Linked DNA regions of Canis lupus familiaris. The protein of the gene in region 1 interacts with the protein of each later gene in a pairwise test. Links are inferred from orthologs where the notes say so. Each region holds a gene or a part of one and is shown in the gene's direction. Other genes may lie near its edges.

Region 1 (9,957 bases):
CCTCCCTGTCCCCTACCACCCTGTCCCCTCCCTCACCGGGGCTGCTGTGGTTGGGGGCTGGTCCCAGGTGCCTTCCCTGGGGTGACCCCTGGCCTCTCCTCTCCAGTGAAGAAAGACGATGAGGCCTTCGAGATCTCCATCCCCTTCGATGAGACGCCCCACCTAGACCCACAGATCTTTTACAGTCTGAGCCCCTCTCGGGGAAACTTCGAGGGTGAGCTGGGGGCGGCGTGGAGGGACCCCAGCCGTCTGGGGTATAGGGCCCTGGAGGCCTTGGGTGTGACCAAGGCTCCCCCCCCTGTCCCTAGAGTCTCCGGAGGCCCCATCCCCGACAGTAGCCCTGATGAATGGTGTCAGGGCCCAGCTGCACATGGCCCTGGAGAGGAACTCCTGGTTACAGAAGCGCATTGAGGACCTGGAGGAGGAGAGGGACTTCTTGCGGTGTCAGCTAGACAAGTTTATATCCTCTGCCCGCATGGATGCAGGTCAGGTGCCTGAGGAGCTGGTCCCTCATGTCTGCTTTGGCCCTCCTCTGGGATTCATGACCCTTCCTCACCTACTCTTCTCCTTTGGCATCTTTTGTCCTTTCCCTGCTCCCCAGGCCATCTCCCAGACCCCAAAGATCAGCTTGCTTCCTTCCTGACTCCTGCCTTTGCTGATGGGCAGGACCCTGTGGCCATGTCAGGGCTTTCCTTTCCCAAATCTTTGGGAAGTCTAACTTCCCTGTTTTGGGGAGTCTAACTTCTCCCTTCTGCATGATGTTCAGCCCTTGCCTGGCTCTTTCCCAGGACTCCATATCCCCCTGTGAATCACCTGACAGCCTGGGCAAGGGCTCTGTTTTCTCAGCATCTGTGTTACTGGGGACCCCTTTGCTCTGGAACCACCTGTGGCCCAGGGTGCTGATGGGAACCAAACTAGGATGGTGGGGCCCAAGGGCCCTCTGGACTTTTTCAGTGAGGTCCCACTGAGTCCCCAGAAAACCCCTCCTCCACTGTGGGAGCCTGTGGTCAGAGAGTCTCGGAGGTGTCTGGTCCTGTCTTGGTCCTCTCAGTCCTTCCCCCCACCTCTTGCCCTAAAGTTAAGGAGTCAGAGGAGCATGAAACCATGCCCCACCTGTGATCTTTACCCCCAAATCCAACCAAGTGTACTGTGTCCAGTCATCTTGGTGGGAACTGCAGCATCTATACTGCATTTTCTGTTTGTCTTGGGGGCTCCAGTCGGGCCCAGTTGAAGCCCCTACCACCATGTGTGATGTGACACCATCCCCACCTTGGAGATAGTCTCTTGCCTCCTTCTGCCTCCTGTTCTGGAAGTTCATGTGTATGGGTCTCTCTCTCTCTCTCTCTCTACCTCTCTCCAGAGGATCACTGCCGGGTGAAGCCTGGGTCCAGGCGGGTTGAGGGGGATGGCAGGGGTGGGGCTGGGGGCGAGGCCTCAGACCCGGAGTCAGCGGCCTCCTCGCTCAGTGGAGTGTCTGAAGAAGGCAGTACGATGGAGAGGAAGAGGCAGAAGCAGAAGGGAGGTGCTGGCCGGAGGCGCTTTGGGAAGCCCAAGGCCCGGGAGAGGCAGCGGGGTGAGCAAGGCGCATGCAGGGTGTGGGAGCTCAGGGGTTCTGGGCTGGGGGCTTGCTGTGACCGTGGGGAGGCCCTTCCTGTTCCCCTGGCCTGGTTGTGTGTCCCAGCCTATCATGGGGTCTTACTTTGGATCTGAGCCTCAGCTGGGCTGCGGATCCTCCTCCCTGGGCCTGCCTTCTCCTATTTTCCACTTGTCCCACTGTCTCTATGTCTCCCAGCATCTCCTGTCCTCTTGATTTCTGCGGTGTTCCCTGGCTCTCCCTGTGTTGGGCTCCCTGTCTGTCCTTGCCCCATCCCTGTTCCTCACGTCACTCTCTCTGCCCTGCAGTGAAGGATGCAGACGGTGTCCTCTGCCGCTACAAGAAGATACTGGGCACCTTCCAGAAGCTGAAGAGCATGTCCCGGGCCTTTGAGCACCACCGCGTAGACCGCAACACGGTGGCGCTGACCACGCCCATCGCGGAGCTGCTCATCGTGGCCCCGGAGAAGCTGGCGGAGGTAGGCGAGTTCGACCCTTCCAAGGAGCGTCTGCTCGAGTACTCGCGCCGCTGCTTCCTGGCCCTGGACGACGAGACCCTCAAGAAGGTGCAGGCTCTCAAGAAGAGCAAGCTGCTGTTGCCCATCACCTACCGCTTCAAGCGGTGATCCCACCCTACTTGTCCCTCCGTGCCCCTCCTGGCACCGGGCGGGCGTGTGCATGAGTGGTGTGCTCCTCCCGAGAGCCTAGGGGCTGGCGGCGTATTTCCCACCCAGGTCACTGGCCCCCTCCTCTCCTCTCCCGTCCCTGGCACCTTCTCCTTCGTCTGCATTCCCCGGGGAGGGGCGTCTACTTAGCTGGGCTCACCGGAGCCGCCGCGCAGGGCTCTGCCTTTCCCCAGCACTGGCCCCCTCCTCTGCCCCGGCGGGCCCCTGCTTCCTGGGGTGACTGCGAGACTCTCCGCGGGGCCAGGCACTCACTGTACATAGCCCGTCCCCATCCCAGCCCCGAGGAGAGGCTGGCCGGCTCTGCCAGGAGCTCTCCACCCGCATTCCGGACGAATAATTATTCAGAGGATTTAAATTAAAGAGAGACAATAAAATTTGGAATAAACTCGGCCCGGCCTCTTCTTAGAGGGGGTGTCCGTTGCCGCGGAGATGGTGACGGGAGCTCCGGGGAGTTGTATGGGGCGGGCGGTTAGGCAGGGAACCGGAGCTTGGGGAGACAGGACGTAATTAGCACCCCCAGCGGCACGGCAGGGGCGGGAGAAGGAGCAGCAGCCGTGCCCCGGAGAGCTTGGAGGGGCCACCGCCCCCCCCCCCCCCCCCCCGGTGAGCTCCAACAGAGGCGCGACGGCGGCGGGCGGCGGGGGACGCGGGACAGGCCGCGGCGGTGGGGGCAGGGAACGACAGGTCTGGATGGAAGCTACCACGCCCGCCCGCCAGGAGGCGGTACTGTCAATTACCGGTCTTCCGGAAGTGCCCTCTACGTCGCCTACTGCGCCTGCGCTGCAGGAGGGGCGCGAGCGTGCTTACACAGTTGCTACAGCAACCAGGAGAAGGCCGCTGTGCTTAACGGACTAAAATTCAGTACCTTCCCCGGAGTAAGGGAAAGTCTCGCGCACGCGTGCTGGGGCCTCTGGAACCCGCTCACCTCCCAAACAGTGAGAAACCGCGCCTCAGACCAACCTCTACGCAAGCGCAGAAGCCCATCTCGCGCCCCTCCTCTGCCCCTCTGCGCAGGCGCACAAAGCCGCGCTGGCAACCTCCGCAGCGGCCGCGCGCACCCTTCACCCCGCCGGCTGCTTTTGTCTCGCGCAAGCTTTTTAGGCCCTCCGCGAAATCCGCCCTTCTTTTCCTCCACTCTTCCCACCCGGAGAGCCAAGTGCAGAGAGCCGGGACCTCGCCCTTTCTCTGTATCCCTTTTCCTGACCAACCTCATCTCTGTCCTCCCTCCCTTTTTCCGTTCCCGAAGCCGGAAGGAGCCGAAGCGCCGACGGAAAAAACCGAAGCTATCTGCCGTGAGGCCTTCCCGAAGCGGTGGCGGAAGGAGCCGAAGTTTACCGGCAGGGGAGGAGTAAGTGTACTATCCGGAAAGAGCCGAAGCTTGGCGTCGGGTTTAATCCTTCGGCTGGGTCCGAGAGCCCTCGCTGGAAACCTTCAGAAAGCGCAGGAGTCCGAGAGTGTTAGGATTGTCGGAAATAGCTGATTGCTTGGATAGAGCCGGCGGAGAGGAGCGGGCAGTATCTGCGGAAGCAGCCAAAGACTGGGACGGTTTGAATTGTCGGAAGAAGCCGAACCCCTCGGGGGGGGGGGTAGGCGCAGAGGAACGCGCGGACCTACGGAAACACCCGAACGTTGAAGAGCTAGTTTACGAAAAGTTACGATAGCTTGGGAAGCCGGTGAAGTCTTCGCTTCGGGTGTTTTCGGAGGCAGCCGAAGCCGCTGCTCCCGATTCCTTCTACTGCCCGGAAATAGCCGACGCTATTTGGAGCCCGGCTCTGGGGGGAGGGGCGCGTCGCGGGTGGGCGGGCGGGGAGAGGGGCGGAGCAGGGGCGGGGCGGGCGGCCCGGGCTTGATTAAGTAGGAGGCGGCGGAGCGCCGGCGGCGGCCGGAAGTAGCCGAAGCGAGCGGCGGAAGTAGCCGAAGGGGCCGGAGCGGGCGGGCGGCAAGGCGAGGCCAGAGCTGCACAGGGCCCTTACGCGGCCGTCTCAGCATGTCGGACTTCGACGAGTTCGAGCGGCAGCTCAACGAGAATAAGCAAGGTGAGGGCGCCGGGGGCGCAGGGCGGCGGGCGGGTCGGTTCCTGGCCTCTCTCCGTGTCCCCCGCCATTTTCCCCCGCTCTTCCCCCTCCTTTCAGGGCCGCGCGGCGCTCCCCCCCACTTCGCCGCGCGCCTCGCTCACGTGACCACCCGGCATGCAGCCGCGCGCGGGAGGGGAGGGGAGGGGAGGGGGCCGCGGGCGCGGGTCCCGGACGCATGCGCGGCGCGCTCCGCTTTGCGCCCCACGTGGTCCGCGGTGGAGGCGGCGCGGGCCCGCGGGCTCGCTGGGTGTTCCCTGGCGGACTAAGCACTCCCATATATTTAAAAAAATTTTTTTTAAAATCTGAAAATAGGTTTTATGTGTATTAGGTCCCGCAGTGCTTCCTTTCTTTCCCGCTGTCCCGGCACTTCCGCTTCTGGCCGGGCCCGCGGCCCGGGTCTCCACGCCCCTTTTGTCCCAAAATGGCCGTTGCGAGCTCCCCACGTGGGCGTGGGTCGGGGGGGACGCCGGCCCGGGGCAGTGAGCGTGTCGCGGTACCTTTTGCGGGAGAGGACACTCGTGCGTGTCCCGACCCGGGTTGGAGGTGGCGGGGGCACGTCATCCCACACAGCTGTCGGGGCGCGGGGCCGCGGGTTTTCCGACGGGCACAGGCGGTGGGCGCTGCCGCGCTCCGTCTGCCTCGACTGCTCGTGGGAGGGACGCCGGCGGGCGGGAGGGCCTGCCCCGGGTGGCGTCGGTCTCTGCGCCACGTGCAGCCGGGCGTCCTGGGCTCCCGTCCCGGCGGCCCTGCCGCTCTCACGGCTGTACAGCGGCTCGGTGCCTTGTCCCTGAGTCTGTGGGCGAGGGAGGGCGGTCGTAACTACGGTGGAGGTCAGACCTCGAGCGCTTGCCAAGTGCATCCTTGCGAGGCTCGAGAGATATTTTTCTTGCCGTAGAGGGGGAAACAGGTTTCTCAGGCCTTAGCTGTGACAAGGCCGGGCGGAGTTTACGTGGGGGTAGCGCGTAGAAGCTTGTGACGGGGTCTACGCTAAGGGCGGAGGAAGCGATCTACTGGCCACTGTGCAGTTATTCTCGGGGTGATGTCATCCTAGGACCTGGAGAGGACCACGGCGGGGAGAGTGCTCTCCTAGTGCCTTTCTGCCAGGTCCCCACACACCTGGGTTAGGTGGGACCCTTGTTCACAGGAAGGTTTGTTGGCTTCTGGGCGGTTTCATACCCGTACAGAGCAGAAGTCCACCTGAGTGTGGTTGGTGGCGGGGCTGCCAGGTGGACCTGCCTGAGCTCCTTAGGCAATCGCAGATGTGTGCCTCGGTTCTTCCTGGCGCTGGGAGGCCAGGCCCTCAGCCCTGCACGGCCCCTGGGTTGGTGGAGCTGTGCGCACAATGCAGCCACAGACTTCTGAACAACTGAAGCACCTTTTCTGTTTTCTTTGTCCGGGATATCTGTGTGTGGGGAGGCAGGAAGCTCCGTGCACGTCTGCCCTGCCTGTGGGTGGGTCTCTGGACCAGCCTGAGTGAGGCCTTCAGCCCTCTGAGAGCCCTTCAGACCCAGCGTCGGGCAGGTGTGTCCTCGGAGAATTAGTTTCCTTGTGTGGTTGCAGGCTCCCAGCAGGCATCACTGCTTCCTCTCCCCTGGTTCTTCTGCCCGCTTGTTTTGTTTGTTTCAGAGCCTCAGCTTGCTCATTTTATAAGCTTGCCGCCAGAGGCCCGCAGCCCCACAGCCTCCTGCCATGCTGGTGTGTTTCTTTGCTGCTCTTCTTTGCTTCAAGTGTCTGGTTTAGGTTTTATTTATTCGTGTTCAGAGAGATAACATTGTTACTAGTGGTTCTGGGTGGACTACAGCAGCTTTGCCTGTCCTGAGTTGAGTCTGCCCAGGTGATGATTAGCTGTACTTGCTAACATTAGGGAATTCACCTTCAGTCTTCACCGTCTTTTTGCTTTTTGGTTATGAGCAAGTTATGTGAACTCTCTGTGCCTCCGTTTCCATATTTTTTGTTTGAACGAATAGTAGTGTTTTTTTCCAAACAGTTGTAAGAATTGGCAGTATAGGTGGGTTTTAGAAGTATTCTTGTGTTTGCTCATCTGTTTTTTTTTTTTTTTCCTGAGGTGCTTTTCCTTAGTTTTATGGGTTCTAGAGTTGATTTGTTTGTAGAAAGTTGACGTTTAAAGTTTCAGCATAAAGTAGCACGGATGAGGCTCAAGTCCACTTTAACACCCCGTCCTTGTTGCCTTTACCTGTATCCGTCCATAGAACGGGGCTAGTGGAGGAGGGTGAGGGGTGTCTTTGAGTTAAGGAATAAGGAAACCTGCTGTGACGTGGTGCTCATAGCTTGGCCTGCACATCCTTCCCAGGGTCTTTTGAGCGGAGTTTTCTATGGTTTATACGGGCTAGGCTTGTGCTCCGTTCTTTTAGTCGCCACCCCCAAGGCTGAAGGGGTTGAGTGAGCCTACTAGGGGGCTGGACCCTGTCCCTCTTGTGTTGGCTTTGAGGGAGTGTGGGCAGGATAGGGTGGTTTGGGAATCTGGCCTGCAAGGGGTAGGGGGCAGGGCATGCTCCTCCCCTACCTCTTGAGGCAGGGCCCAGCACCTCCCTTTCTAGGCCACATTCAGAAGGGAGCACCTCCCTACAAGAGGGCATCTTGCATTCTTTCTCTGGTTGGGAAGGGACCATCAGGTGTCCTAACTTCTTGGGGATACCAGATCCTGCCTTGCACCTGCCCCTGGGGCCTGATGGTGGGGCTGTGGGTGCCAGCTGGTTGAGGAGGTCTTTCCTGAGGGGTCGCCAGTTTCCTTCATTCAGGAAAACATCATTGGGTCTCTTGATTCCCCAGCCTCTAGCCCTGCCCCTCTCAGGGACGACCCTGGGGTCAGGCCCCTCAGCCCTCGAGGGGGACCAGGAGCCAGCCTCCTCTGTCTTCTCTGGCTCCCCAGCTCCTCCTGAGCATCCTCAGGTATCTTACACCCCGTGGGCATTTCCAGGCTCTGTCCCCTCAGGTAACCAGCTCCTGTCCCCTGGGACCCCCAGGGCTCCTGGACTGGCTTGTGGACCCAGGAAGCCTGCTATATTCCCTCCTCCACTGAATCCCTTCCCCTTGGGGGGTGGGTTCCCTGGGGCTCGGGGCATAGCCACCAGTGAGTGGGTGGGCTGGGCCATGTCCTCCCTCAGCTCATTCTCCTCCCCCTCCCCTGGCCCAGAACGGGACAAGGAGAACCGGCACCGCAAGCGTAGCCACAGCCGCTCGCGAAGCCGGGACCGCAAGCGCCGGAGCCGGAGCCGTGATCGGCGCAACCGGGACCAGCGGAGTGCCTCCAGGGACAGGCGGCGACGAAGGTACCAGGGCTTGGGGACCCCTGGCTGGGAATGGAGTGTCCTTGCACCCAGACACTGGTGTGCTTCGGCCTCTTGAGTTCTCTGTGTGTGTGTGTCTAGGTGTCTGTTACTTGTCTGTCTTGCATATGGGCTTTTTTTTTTTTTTTTTTTTTTTTTTTTTTTTATACTCTGTTTCTAGAGTCTTCAGTTTCTGGTGGGTTGGTGGGGGCATTGGGTTCTTTATCATGGAGGTGAGTCTGGATTCAGGGTGCTGACTCTTCTGTGTTGTGTTCACGAGGCCTGGCTCAGTCCCTGCCTCCTAGGACCCGTTTCTTTTTCCCATTATTATTCTGTGTTTTTCTGGGATTGTATTCTGGGGTCTATACTCTGCCTCCTGGGAAGAGGGGTTCTCAAAGTGGGGCAGCCTCTGTGAACCCAGCTGCCATCTGCTTTGCTAATGCTTCTTCCCTCCCTAGCCTCCCCTCTGTTTTCTTTCCCCTTAAGCGAGGAAGGGTAGGGTAGGTGGAAGTTCTGCCTTCTTACATTTCAGTTTCTCCAAGTAGAAAGTGATCTGTGTGGCCTTTCATCCCTTCCACAGTTCCTCTTTCCTGGGTTGGGGGTTTGGGGGGGATGGCAGGGCCAAGGGGGCCTGCCCCCAGCCCTGGGGCTCTGTGCCCTTGGGGAGGTGTGGCGTGTGGGGAAAACGAGGGTCCCCAGTCACCCTTCCCCATACCTTTCCCTCCCATCCCTCAGCAAACCTTTGACCAGAGGCGCTAAAGAGGAGCACGGTGGATTGATGTGAGCTGCTCTTCCTGCCCCTTCCACCCTGATGTCCACTCCCTCTGCCCCTGCCCTCGTGTACCCTGCCCTGTCCTTGTCCAGCCCTGGCCCAAGCACTGGGGAAGAGGTTCCACTTGCCTTGAAACCAGCACCCTTCCCGAGGCCTGGGTACAGCCCTGACCAGATCCTCTCCCTCCTGGAGAGCACTGCACTCCTAGTGGGTAGCTGAGGGGAGCCTGGGGTGCTCACAGGCCCACCTTTGGTCAGACTGAGGTCGTCCTGCCCGGCTCTCCCTTCCCCCTTCCCAGTCGTTCCCCCCGCCATGAGAAGAAGAAGAAGGTCCGTAAATATTGGGATGTCCCCCCGCCTGGCTTCGAGCACATCACCCCCATGCAGTACAAGGCCATGCAAGGTAGGTTTCAGCTGTCGCCTCCTTGGTGGAGAACATGCTAGGTGGTTGAGGGAGCAGATCCTGAGCTGGGGGGCAGGGGGGATAAGGTTTGTGTCCCGGGCTTTCTGGATTTTGCCTTTTTGACCACTGCAGAAGAGGTGCTGTGAGGTTCCCATGGGGAGCTGAGCCTGTGTGGGCTGGTCCACAGGGAGCTGCCTCCTCCCCTATCCAGGCTCTCCCACCAGTGTGCTGGGGGTGGGATGTGTGTGTAGAGGATTGCCAGGTTGCCATCTAATCCTGCTCTTCCTTCTCCAAGCGGCGGGTCAGATTCCAGCCACCGCCCTCCTTCCCACCATGACCCCTGATGGCCTGGCTGTGACCCCGACGCCGGTGCCCGTGGTCGGGAGCCAGATGACCAGACAGGCCCGGCGCCTCTACGTGGGGAACATCCCCTTTGGCATCACTGAGGTACTGCCTACCCCCTGCCTTTTCCCTGCCCTCTCCCCAGTTCCCTCCCATTCCTCCCCTCTCCCCCTCCCCTCCCCCAACCTGCACGGGTCAGACTCTGCCTCCTGCAAGGCCCCCCGGCCCCCTCCCCGACGGACCGATGGAGTTGAGCCAGCCAGGGGCCGGGCTGGGGGTGGCCCTCTCCCTCCCTCCTCTTCCCCTCTCCCGTCTCCCCTTTCCCAACCTCCTCCAGCAACCCAGGGATCAAGGCACACACAACGAACCTACGAAAATCCATGAGTCCAGTCCGTATCGAGAGAGACAGAGAGGGAGACTCGCACGCGCGCGCGCACGCACACTGACACACGCACACACGCACACACGCACACACGCACAGACGCACGCTCCCCTCAGTTGTCTCTGACACACCTCTGGTTCTCTGCCGCCTGTTCCCATCCTCTCCCCACGTCCCTCCCGTGGTCGCTGCTCTTTTGTTTTGATGGCCCTGACCTCCCCAACCTTCCCCACCACTCCTCTCCCCTCCCTCCCCCCCACCCCTTCCCGTGGCACCCCGAGAATCCCGAGATCAAAGAGTTGTTTCCATTTCTCTTTAAAGTGAAATATTGTGGGGCTGAGATCCCTCGTAGCAACAAAAAGTTTGCTACCGTCGTCGAAGGCAAGTAAGGTCCATTCTGACTTTCTCAACCTGCACTTTG
Region 2 (9,736 bases), on another chromosome or scaffold:
GCATTTTATAGTTCATCACTTATTTAAAACTGTATCTCTTTATTACCCTGTAAATAAAAAATATTGAAACCACAGAGAGAGTAACAAATCCTCACATGCAAACATAACTAGGAGGATGCTGCAGGTAAAGAAATACAGTGTTTTCCCCGGGGAGGCAAGAGATGACCTATTACAGATCACCACCCTCTTTTCTATTTGCACATGAAAGTAGAAACCACTAGTACATTAGCGTTAAGAGCCTTTTTTTCCCCGCTTAAAACATTCTCACATAATACCTAGGAGTCCAACTCTAAAAAAGGTGGAAAATTAATTATCCGCCAGAGAAAATATTTAAAAATTCATATTCTTCAGTATGGAGGTTCCTCCAAAAACTGAAAATAGAACCACCCTATGATCCAGTAAGCACACTATTGGGTATTCACCCCCAAAATACAAAAACAATAATTCAAAGGGACACAGGCACCCCTATGTTTATTACAACATTATTTACAATAGTCAAACTATGGAAGCAACCCAAGCGTCCATCAACAGACGAATGGATAAAGAGAATGTGGTCCATATACACGATGGAATATTATTCAGTCCATAGAAAATAATGAAATTTTGCCATTTGCAACATGAATAGAGCTAGAGAGTATAAAACTAAATGAAATAGAAAAAGAGAAATAACATATGATCTCACTCATATGTGGCATTTAAGTAAGCAAAGGAGCAAAGGGGAAAAAGACAAACCAGACTCTTTAACTATAGACAACTAATTGTTACCAAAGGGGACGTGGGTAGGGATTAAAAAGTATATTTATCATGATGAAAACAAAATAAAATAAAATGATAAAACAAGGGAGAAATGGCCTGGGGGGCGGGGGGGGGGGTATTCCCATTGTTTAGTTTTGTGGAAATGGTATGGTCTTTTTTAGAATTATAGTTTTTTTTTTTTAAAGGATTTTATTTACTTATTCATGAGAGACACACAGAGAGAGGCAGGGACACAAGCAGAGAGAGAAGCAGGCTCCATGCAGGGAGCCCGATGGTCTCCAGGATCACGCCCTGGGCTGCAGGCGGCACTAAACTGCTGGGCCACCCAGGGATCCCGAAATTATGGTTTTTTTTTTTTAATTTTTTTATTTATTTATGATAGTCACAGAGAGAGAGAGAGAGAGAGAGAGAGAGAGAGAGAGAGAGAGAGAGAGAGAGAGGCAGAGACATAGGCAGAGGGAGAAGCAGGCTCCATGCACCGGGAGCCCGATGTGGGATTCGATCCCGGGTCTCCAGGATCACACCCTGGGCCGAAGGCAGGCGCCAAACCGCTGCGCCACCCAGAGATCCCGAAATTATGGTTTTCTATTGGCAGATATGATCGTTTGACCTTTAATTGAATTTTAAGGACTACTTTATTTATTTATTTATTTTTTTGTTTATTTATTCATGATAGACAGAGAGAGAGAGAGGCAGAGACACAGGCAGAGGGAGAAGCAGGCTCCATGCACCGGGAGCCCGACGTGGGATTAGATCCCGGGTCTCCAGGATCGCGCCCTGGGCCAAAGGCAGGCGCCAAACCGCTGCGCCACCCAGGGATCCCCAAGGACTACTTTTTTTAAACAAATAAATAGATTTTCACGTAAAATACCTACAGGAGAACGTTGCCCCGTTAGCCTCCACCTGAAGCTACACTCCTGGAGGTCCTATCCTCTATACACGACAAAGCTACACTCATTCTGTTGGGAGGGCTCGTCACTGTCCTCGTTGACCTTGTAATTTTAGGGCATTCTTCCCTCTGAGAGTGACAGGGAAAGACGTTTCATAAAAATTTTGTTCTTCCGGGGGGGGGGGGGGGGGAGGGGGGGGGAAGTGAACTCCTCTAGATCGCGATTCCTTCACATTTTCCAAACACAGCAAAGCCCATCGGAAGCCCCACACCTCGTATCAAAAAAACTGCACAACGTGAACCCCCCGAGACTTTGAGATAGGGACAAGGCTGCCGTTCACACACTCCTCCAGCAACTCCTTGTCGAGTTTTCATGGAGTGACAGGCCCTGGGCCAGGAGCGGTTGTTATCAAAGGGAGACGCTGTCCCCGGGCCCACAGTGGGGTGGTGAGGCGGGCAGCGAGACGTCCGCGGGGGGTGCGCGGGGGGAGGGCGCCTGCCGGGGGAGCGGCGCAGCGGAGCCGGGCAGCGAGCGAGCGGGGTTAGGGACGCGCGGCGCAGCTGGCCGGCCCGGCTCCTGGGCTCCGCCCCGCGGGGCTGCCGCCTGCGCCAAGAGGCGGCGGGCGCGGGGAGGGCGCGGGGAAGGCGCGGGGAGGGCGCGGGGAGGGCGCGGGGAGGGCGCGGGGAGGGCGCGGGGAGGGCGCTCGGGCGCGCGCAGACGCCGCCCGGAGGGACAACCACGAGGTTGAAGAGTCCGGAGCTTTGAAAATAGCCGCCGGTGCGAGGGTGAGGCCGCGGCTCCCAGGCCCCGGCGGGGGATCCACGAGGCGCACCTGCTCCCGTCGCGGCGGCCGACCTGTCGCCCTGCGGGGCCCGGAGCGCACGGCCCGCCTCCAAGTTAATCATCAGCAAGTTTCTTTGTTGTTGGAAATAAGACGCGCGGTCGCGCGTAGGCTCGGGGGGCCCGGGGGGCCCGGGGGGAACCTGTCCCCCCCGCACCTTTTAAACGCCCGCCGGGAGGGAAGGAGGAGGCCGGGGGAGGGGGGCTCCAAGTCTCCCGCACGCCCACCTCCCCGGAGGGCGTGTCTCAGGTGAGCAGGACTCGCCCCACCTCCCAGCAGCCGAAGGACGCTCTCCGCTACCCGGTTACCATAACGACAGGGCGGCAAGCGCCACGCAAACCACCTCGCGCCCAGGCCCCCAGGGGCCGCCTGCATTGTCCGCCGCCCGAGCAGCGCCTCCCTCACGGCGCCTGCGCACAGTCCGCAGCGGGGAGGGGGCGGGGGAGGGAGGATGACAGCGCGCGCGAGACGTTTCCCAGAAGCCCGCGCCGCTCGCCGCCCTTCTCCCTCCCGCTCACAGGCCGCGTGACGTCACTCCGCCCGCCACGTTCCTGAGACGCTAAGGGTGGTTTGCCGGCGCCCCCCAGTGGTCCGGTGGAGCGTTGCAGCGCCGCGCGCGGGGGCCCAGCGAGCGAGGCAGGGAGCGCGGCGGGTTGGGCCGCCGCCGCCGCCGCCGCCGCCGCCGCCGCGGCCGCCGTCGTCACCGTAGCGCGCCGACATGTGGCGGCGCGGCTGAGCGGAGGGGAGGGGGGAGGAGGGAGGAGGGGGAGGGCACGCGCGGGGAGGGGAGGGGAGGGGAGGGGAGGGAGGAGGCCAGACAAGGCGGGGGGAGGGGGAGCAGCGGTGGCGCAAGTCGCGCGGAGCAGCGCAGCCCGGGGCCGCTCTCGCCGCCTCCCGACCCGGCGCCCCCGGCGACAACTCCGAGCGGGCCGCGGAGTCCATGTTGGGGAACTTGGCGTCGTGACGGGGACCCGCCGGAGCGAGCGCCTCCACCTCGGCCTGAGGTAAACGCGGGCCGGCCGCGGGGGCGGGCGGGCTCCGGCGGGCGGGGGGCGGGCGGGCGCGCGAAGTTTGCGGGTTGCGCGCGGCCCAGGCGGCGTCGCGCGCCGGGAGGAAAGTTGGAGCCGCCTGTGGAGGCGGGGGGGGCCCCTTGGTCGCCGCCGCCCCGCCGGGAGGCCCCGCTCCGGCCGCCGCGCCGTCCGCACCCCGGGGCCGGGGCCTGGCCCGCGCCCGCCGCCCGAGCCCGCGGAGGCTGCCCGCGGCGCCGCGACGCCCGCCCCCCCGACTTGGGAGACTTGGGAGACTTGGCTTTTGTCAGCCGCGTCCCGGCCCGCGCGTGAGACCAAACTTCACGGCGCCGTGACCTCCGCGCGGACGGGCCGAGGCGGCGGGCGAGGCGGCCGCGCTCCCCCCCCCCCCCCCCCCCCCGCCCCGAATTTCAAACTCTTCTCCCCCCACCCCCACCCCCACCCCCACCCCCTCGACTTTTCAGCCCGTTTCCTGGGCTGACAACAAAAGGGCCGGATCTGAACTTCTCCGGATGCGTCGCCCTCCCTTCCTCGCTCGCACCTACCGGGATCCCGTTTCTTTGGGGATCGCGCGGGCCGTCCGGCCCCTCCCCCCCCTCACGTATTTTGGAAAACCTGCTTTGGAAGTAAACGCCCGGTTGAAGTAGTCGGGTTAGAATACAGATGGAAGTGTTGAAATCGTGAGAGTTCCCCCCCCCACCCCCGCCCCCCCTCAGCGGGTTTCTGTGGAGGATTTTCGTAGCGTCCACACCGCGCGGTCTTCCTTAATCCCGGGCCGTGTTAGCAGCTAACGTCCCCGCACGCCCTCCGTGAGCCGAGGGGTTTAGGGGGAAACTGCTCAGGAGGTCCTTAAGGTTTGGCCGGTGGACGCTGGCCTTAGGTTTTCCCATTGTGGGGAATTTTTTTTTTTTTTTTAATCCCCCACTGGAAAATCAGGAAAAGCCTAATGAAGGAAGAGATGCAGTTTTCATTCTAGAAACTTAATTCAAGCATGTGGCTCCTTCCCTCAGAATATGGGACGCGAAACATTCTTCAGTAACTGGTGGTTTTTGTGTTGTTGTTTGTTTTTATTGGTAATTAATTGTATTACAATTTTGATAAGGTTCAAATCTCTAGACCGCCGCTTTCTCTTTCCTGTTTTTTTGGCAGTTGCCTTAAATCGTCCCCCCCCCCCCTTTTTTTTTTTTCTTTTTTTTGGCCGTTGGTTAAAAGCTGCAGTAAAGAAGTTTGTGGGATTTTAATTTTTGTTGCTTTGATTGATTGAGCAGATAAAGATTTGGCATTGGCTTTGAGTTTGTTTTATACTCTTCTCTGGAAGATAATCTGAATTTACTTTTTATATGCTTAGTTTATGCCATAGGAGTTTTTAAAGTTATTCTCAACTGTAGCTGCACTTTTTCATTATAATTTTTTTTTTTGGTGCAAGTATATTAATCAGTGTACGTTCAGATGGTGACCTTTCTGCCTGAGAGTTTGAGTATGCTTTTTTTTTTTTTTTTTTTTTTTTAAAGGATTTTGAGTACATTTTAAGATTTTGGTCGGATAAGATTAGGATGTTTGCTTACTTCCAGTGTACTCACGCTGTAAAAACATTTTTCGATATGTCAAGGGGGAATAAAACTGTAGAGGCAAAGAGAAAATTGTTGGTAAATATATTGCCTGCCTGAAACGTGTAATGGAGAAAACTTTAAGCGTGATTTGTTTTGTCACGTCTTTAGGTAATGGCAGTGGGATCCATGAGTTAAGACTGAAACTCTTCAGGGGTCACCCAGCTTCCCCATTATTTTTTGGGCACTAGCCTGTGTTTAGGCAATTTTCCTGAAAAGCTGTGCTGTTATAGGAGGAAACCGTGCAGTTGGCTGATGTTGATTCACCATTAGTAGCATGTTTTAATAGTAGGAGAGTACACTACTACTCACCGACTTAACACTGAGCTTTTTAGATACACCAATGAGATAATTATAAAGCCTAACTAAAGAGAGTGGCAGAGATAGAGGTAATAAAATCTCAGCCTTAGAATGATTTTCATTTTAACTTCCCTTTTGCAAGCTCTACCATCATCATCTACCCTTACCTTTAAGTGATGTGTGTTGGATCTTGACTTACCTTGCCCACTGAAATAAAGAAGCTTCAAACCTAAATTCTTAGTTATACTCTCTATCTGAAAGAATAAATTAGCAGGTTTGCACCTTATCTTGCATCTGTATTCTAACTGGTAGTAGCACTGAGTAGGGCTCAGAGTTAAAATACCTAGTATTCTCTTGGTATTATTACCAAGACTCATTTTTGTATTGTCATTGTTGTCTTTCTTTAAAAGTCGTAGATTTGTTAATTCTAGTACTTAGGCAGATATGGTTCTACTGTAAAATGTGAAAACAGTACCATCCTCTCTTACTTGCAAAATAGTTTCCTAAAAAGTCTCACTATGACCTTTGCTTACCTATATGGTCTTTTACGCTCAACTGCCAGAGTGATCCTGATGAAATTTGTCAAATCATGTTACTTTTCTTCTTAACTGGCTTCCCTTCTCATAGTAAAATCCAAGTCCATGGTTTACCAGGCTGTGAGTGTTTTGAGTCTCGTCTTCCTCTCTCGACTTGATTACCTCATTCTTTGTCCAACTGACTTCTACTCTCCTACATAAGTTTTCTCTGACTGCTCTGTCAAAACCAAACCTTCCTCCCGCATTTCCTACCACTTTTTAAGCCACATTTTCTACATAGCATTTATCACTTTCTAACATACTGTATAATTTACTATCTTAAGTTTATTGTATTTCTTCTTCACTTTAATGAAAGTTCTGTGAGAACAGGGTTTGTCAGTTTGGGCCATTGTTTTGTCCCCAAATGCTGGCACAATGCCTAATACGTAGTAGGTGCTTAGTAAATATTTGATTAATCTCCTTTCTGCTGGAAACGTTAAAACTTTAAAGATAGTAATTATGGTTTGAAACATTACCCAGCTCTCACTCTTTTGCATAGTTACTTGGGTCTCTGCTTTATATTCAGTTCAGGGGACATTTTTAAAGAAGCATATATAGAATGTGAACTTGAAACTGATTTATCAGGATATAGTTGGAAATAAGAATACTTAGCTAAGGGTAGAGTGGTATAATTGTCTTTCTGTTTAAAATCCATTAAATATTTACTAAGCACCTACTACGTATTAGACATTGTGCCAGTATTTGGGGACAAAACAAGAGATCACCAGGCCTCTGTTGATGAATGGAAAGTGAAGGACAGAAATTTGAACCATCAACTCAAGGAAACAGCTGGATTGATGGTAATACCACATAGGGTTCAAGGTTCTTTTGATTCTGACATCTTGCATTTAAAGTACCTCTGGAACTTTTCAGATGGAAATTTCTGTAGGCAATTAGATAATATGGTTCTAAATTTCAGAGGAATTGTGCTTGGAATAGAAAATTGGTGTCACTTATGTAGGTAGTTGAAACTATAGGTGGAATTGCCTAAGGGAGGGACTATAACTGGAATGGAATCACAGTGGCCTATAACATTAAAAAAAAAAAAAAAAAGTTTGCTTGGGTGAATGGAAGTTCCCCAAAACTACTGTGAAGATCAGAGAAGTACAAGGTGAGTGTGATATTACAAAAACTAAAGGAAGAGAGTATTTCAAGGAAGAGTAATCAGTAGATTCCAGTGTTGATGAGAGTTGAGTAATGTAAGAGTTTTAAGATTTTGCTTTTTTTTTTTTTTTTTTCTTTTTTTAGAGACGAGAGAGAAAGAGGGGAGGTGCAGAGGGAGATAAAATGGTAAGCAGGTGCCATGCCCGGTGTGGAGCCTGGCGGTGGGCTTGATCTCACCTCCCTGAGATCATGACCTGATACGAAATCAAGAGTGGGGATGCTTAAGCACTTAAGCAGGACTCAGCCACCCAGGTGCCCCAAGAGCTAAAAGACTTTTCACTGAATTTAACAAGGAGCTCATTGGCCTTTGAATAAGCAAGGTAGTAAGTTTCTTATTTTCCAATTGATGCTCCTGTAATTGCTGAAGTAGATTAAAAAAAAAAAAACAACTGAGATCAAACATTAAGAAATTAGCTGTCTACATTACAGAAGAGACCTAATGTTTGTTGGATATTTCCTGTGTGCCACCCTCTCTGTTTTAGACATTTTACATAAATTTTCATTTGACCTTTTCAGTAGCCTTGCTATGTTGGGTATGTTAATCCTTTTTATGGAAAGGAGTCTGAGGCTCTAGAGAAGTTATATGACTTGCTAAGTGTCAGAGCACTTGTTAAGAATATACACTCAAGTCCGTTTGACTCTTGGGCCTTTAGTCTTTAGTTATTCATTGTGTCTGTGGGTTGGCCTCTCAAACTCTAGGTCAGCGCTATCTAGTAGTAGACTTTTCTGTGATGATCGAAGTGTGTGTACTGCCAATACAGTAGTAGCTAATGTGGCTGTTGAGCATTTGAAATATGGCCAGCGCGACCAAGGAACTGAGTAGTCGTTATGGTGCAGATATAGATCAAAAGTCATTAAGAACCTCATAAATAATAAAGCAGAGTCATAATTAGAAGAGGTGGAAACATATTTATTTGGGAAGAGTACTGTTTTACTTATATGCTAGTTTTAGGTGCTATAAATGAACATTGTAAATTAACTTTTTCTTTTTTAAAAACAATTTCAAACTTTCAGAAAAGTTCAAGTAGAATACAAAAGACTTTTTTCCCCGTAGCCATTTGAGAATAAGTTTCAGACACCATCCCGCTAAGGCCCCAGTACAAGTACGAAGTTTTTTTCAAACCCTGAACCATTTGGGAGTAAGTTACGATGCCTTCTCATAGCCCCAAACCCAGGATAAGGACTTTCTTTTATATAAATATATCAAAATCAGGAAATTAACATCACTATATTATTACAATTTAACTCTCAGACCTCATTTAGGTTTTGCCAGTTTGCATAGTAGTTTCATTTAAGAAGAGGATCCAGTCTAGAGTCCTGCGTTGCATTTAATTGTAATGTCTTTTTACACTCCTTCAACCTAGAACAATCCCTTGTTTTTCCTTAAATTTCATGACCTTGACACGTCAAAGGATTACAGGTTAGTTTTGTTGTTAAATGTCTCTCAATTTAGATTTGCCTAGTATTTCCTTATGGCTGGGTTCAAATTGTGCAGGAGTGTCTCAGCAATGATGCTGTGTTCTCATTGCATCCTATTGGATGGCATACAATTTTCTTTTTGTGCCATTACTGATGATGTACACTTTGATCATTTGATTAAGATGAAGTTTCCCAAGCTTCTTCACCCAAGTTTTTTTTTTTTTTTTCCTCTTAGTAATCAATAAGTATTTTGTGGGACGCATTTTCAGACTTTATAAATAGCCCATTCTTCATCAGATTTGCTATTTATTATCAAATTGTCCCAGCTTTGACCAGTGAAAGCCCCTTCAAATGCTTTCTTTGTTCTTTTGACTTGCTTTGAGCACTTCCTTACTGTTTGACACAAGAAAATGTTCCAGGGTTACCTTGTACGTACTTTCCCTGTTGTAACCCTAGAATCATCCATTTCTCCAAGGAGTGATTTCTTTTAGTGGAGAAAGATGTTTAGAAAGCCAAGATTTATTTCTGTATATATATAAAAAACCATGGGCTATTACCAATTTTTCCAGTTCCGGTGTTTTCATTTTCTCCCTTTCCAGATTTATTGCTTTCTTCTAAGGGGAAGCCTGACTTCCAGTATCCTTAGTGTGTTTACTTATGATCAGTCACCAAGGTGTAGCCAAATTCTATTGTCACTGTTGCTTCTTCTCCAGAGTTGGGTAATATTTTCATTCTTCTCAAGGCTCTGCTGCCTTGTGCCAAGATGCATTCCTCACTCTAGGCCCCTCACCATACCTCATATTGAGGATCTCACCATTCTTCTTGAGTTCCAGTACCTCTGGGCTCCCTCAACAATCTTCACATGGACACCTTGCTCAGTAACTTGGGCTCCAACACCTCCAGGCAGACTACCAACATGCAGACATATTTTTCTTAAAGATTGTGCTCATTTGTTTTTATAAAAGATTATCACACCAAAACTTGTGAAAATTATGATCAAATATGTCCTCACCTTTAAAATTTAAGTCCTCTTGAGACTCTCACATCTGTTAGTGATAATACTAATCTTCCTTATTTTCCCTTTTACCAGAGAGTTCTCAGATGTACTTTCAGGAGAGTCTTTTTAATATAATTTTGACAGTAAGGTAAAAATTAG

What was found.
Region 2: the proteins of U2AF2 (region 1) and SCAF11 interact in binary tests that used the Homo sapiens proteins (3 or more experiments, as listed by UniProt). The link is inferred for Canis lupus familiaris from reciprocal best matches to the Homo sapiens genes U2AF2 and SCAF11.

The regions. Positions count from the first base shown.
Region 1 is NC_049222.1:102,851,654-102,861,610, reverse strand, and holds the start of U2AF2 (splicing factor U2AF 65 kDa subunit), read left to right. Parts: upstream 1-4,266; coding exon 4,267-4,315; intron 4,316-7,508; coding exon 7,509-7,644; intron 7,645-8,376; coding exon 8,377-8,421; intron 8,422-8,711; coding exon 8,712-8,815; intron 8,816-9,110; coding exon 9,111-9,262; intron 9,263-9,957. Other genes in the region: CCDC106 (coiled-coil domain-containing protein 106), read left to right, coding at 107-214, 309-485, 1,361-1,573, 1,903-2,219. UniProt on the Homo sapiens protein: Plays a role in pre-mRNA splicing and 3'-end processing. By recruiting PRPF19 and the PRP19C/Prp19 complex/NTC/Nineteen complex to the RNA polymerase II C-terminal domain (CTD), and thereby pre-mRNA, may couple transcription to splicing.
Region 2 is NC_049248.1:38,222,001-38,231,736, reverse strand, and holds the start of SCAF11 (protein SCAF11), read left to right. Parts: upstream 1-3,299; 5' UTR 3,300-3,491; intron 3,492-9,736. UniProt on the Homo sapiens protein: Plays a role in pre-mRNA alternative splicing by regulating spliceosome assembly.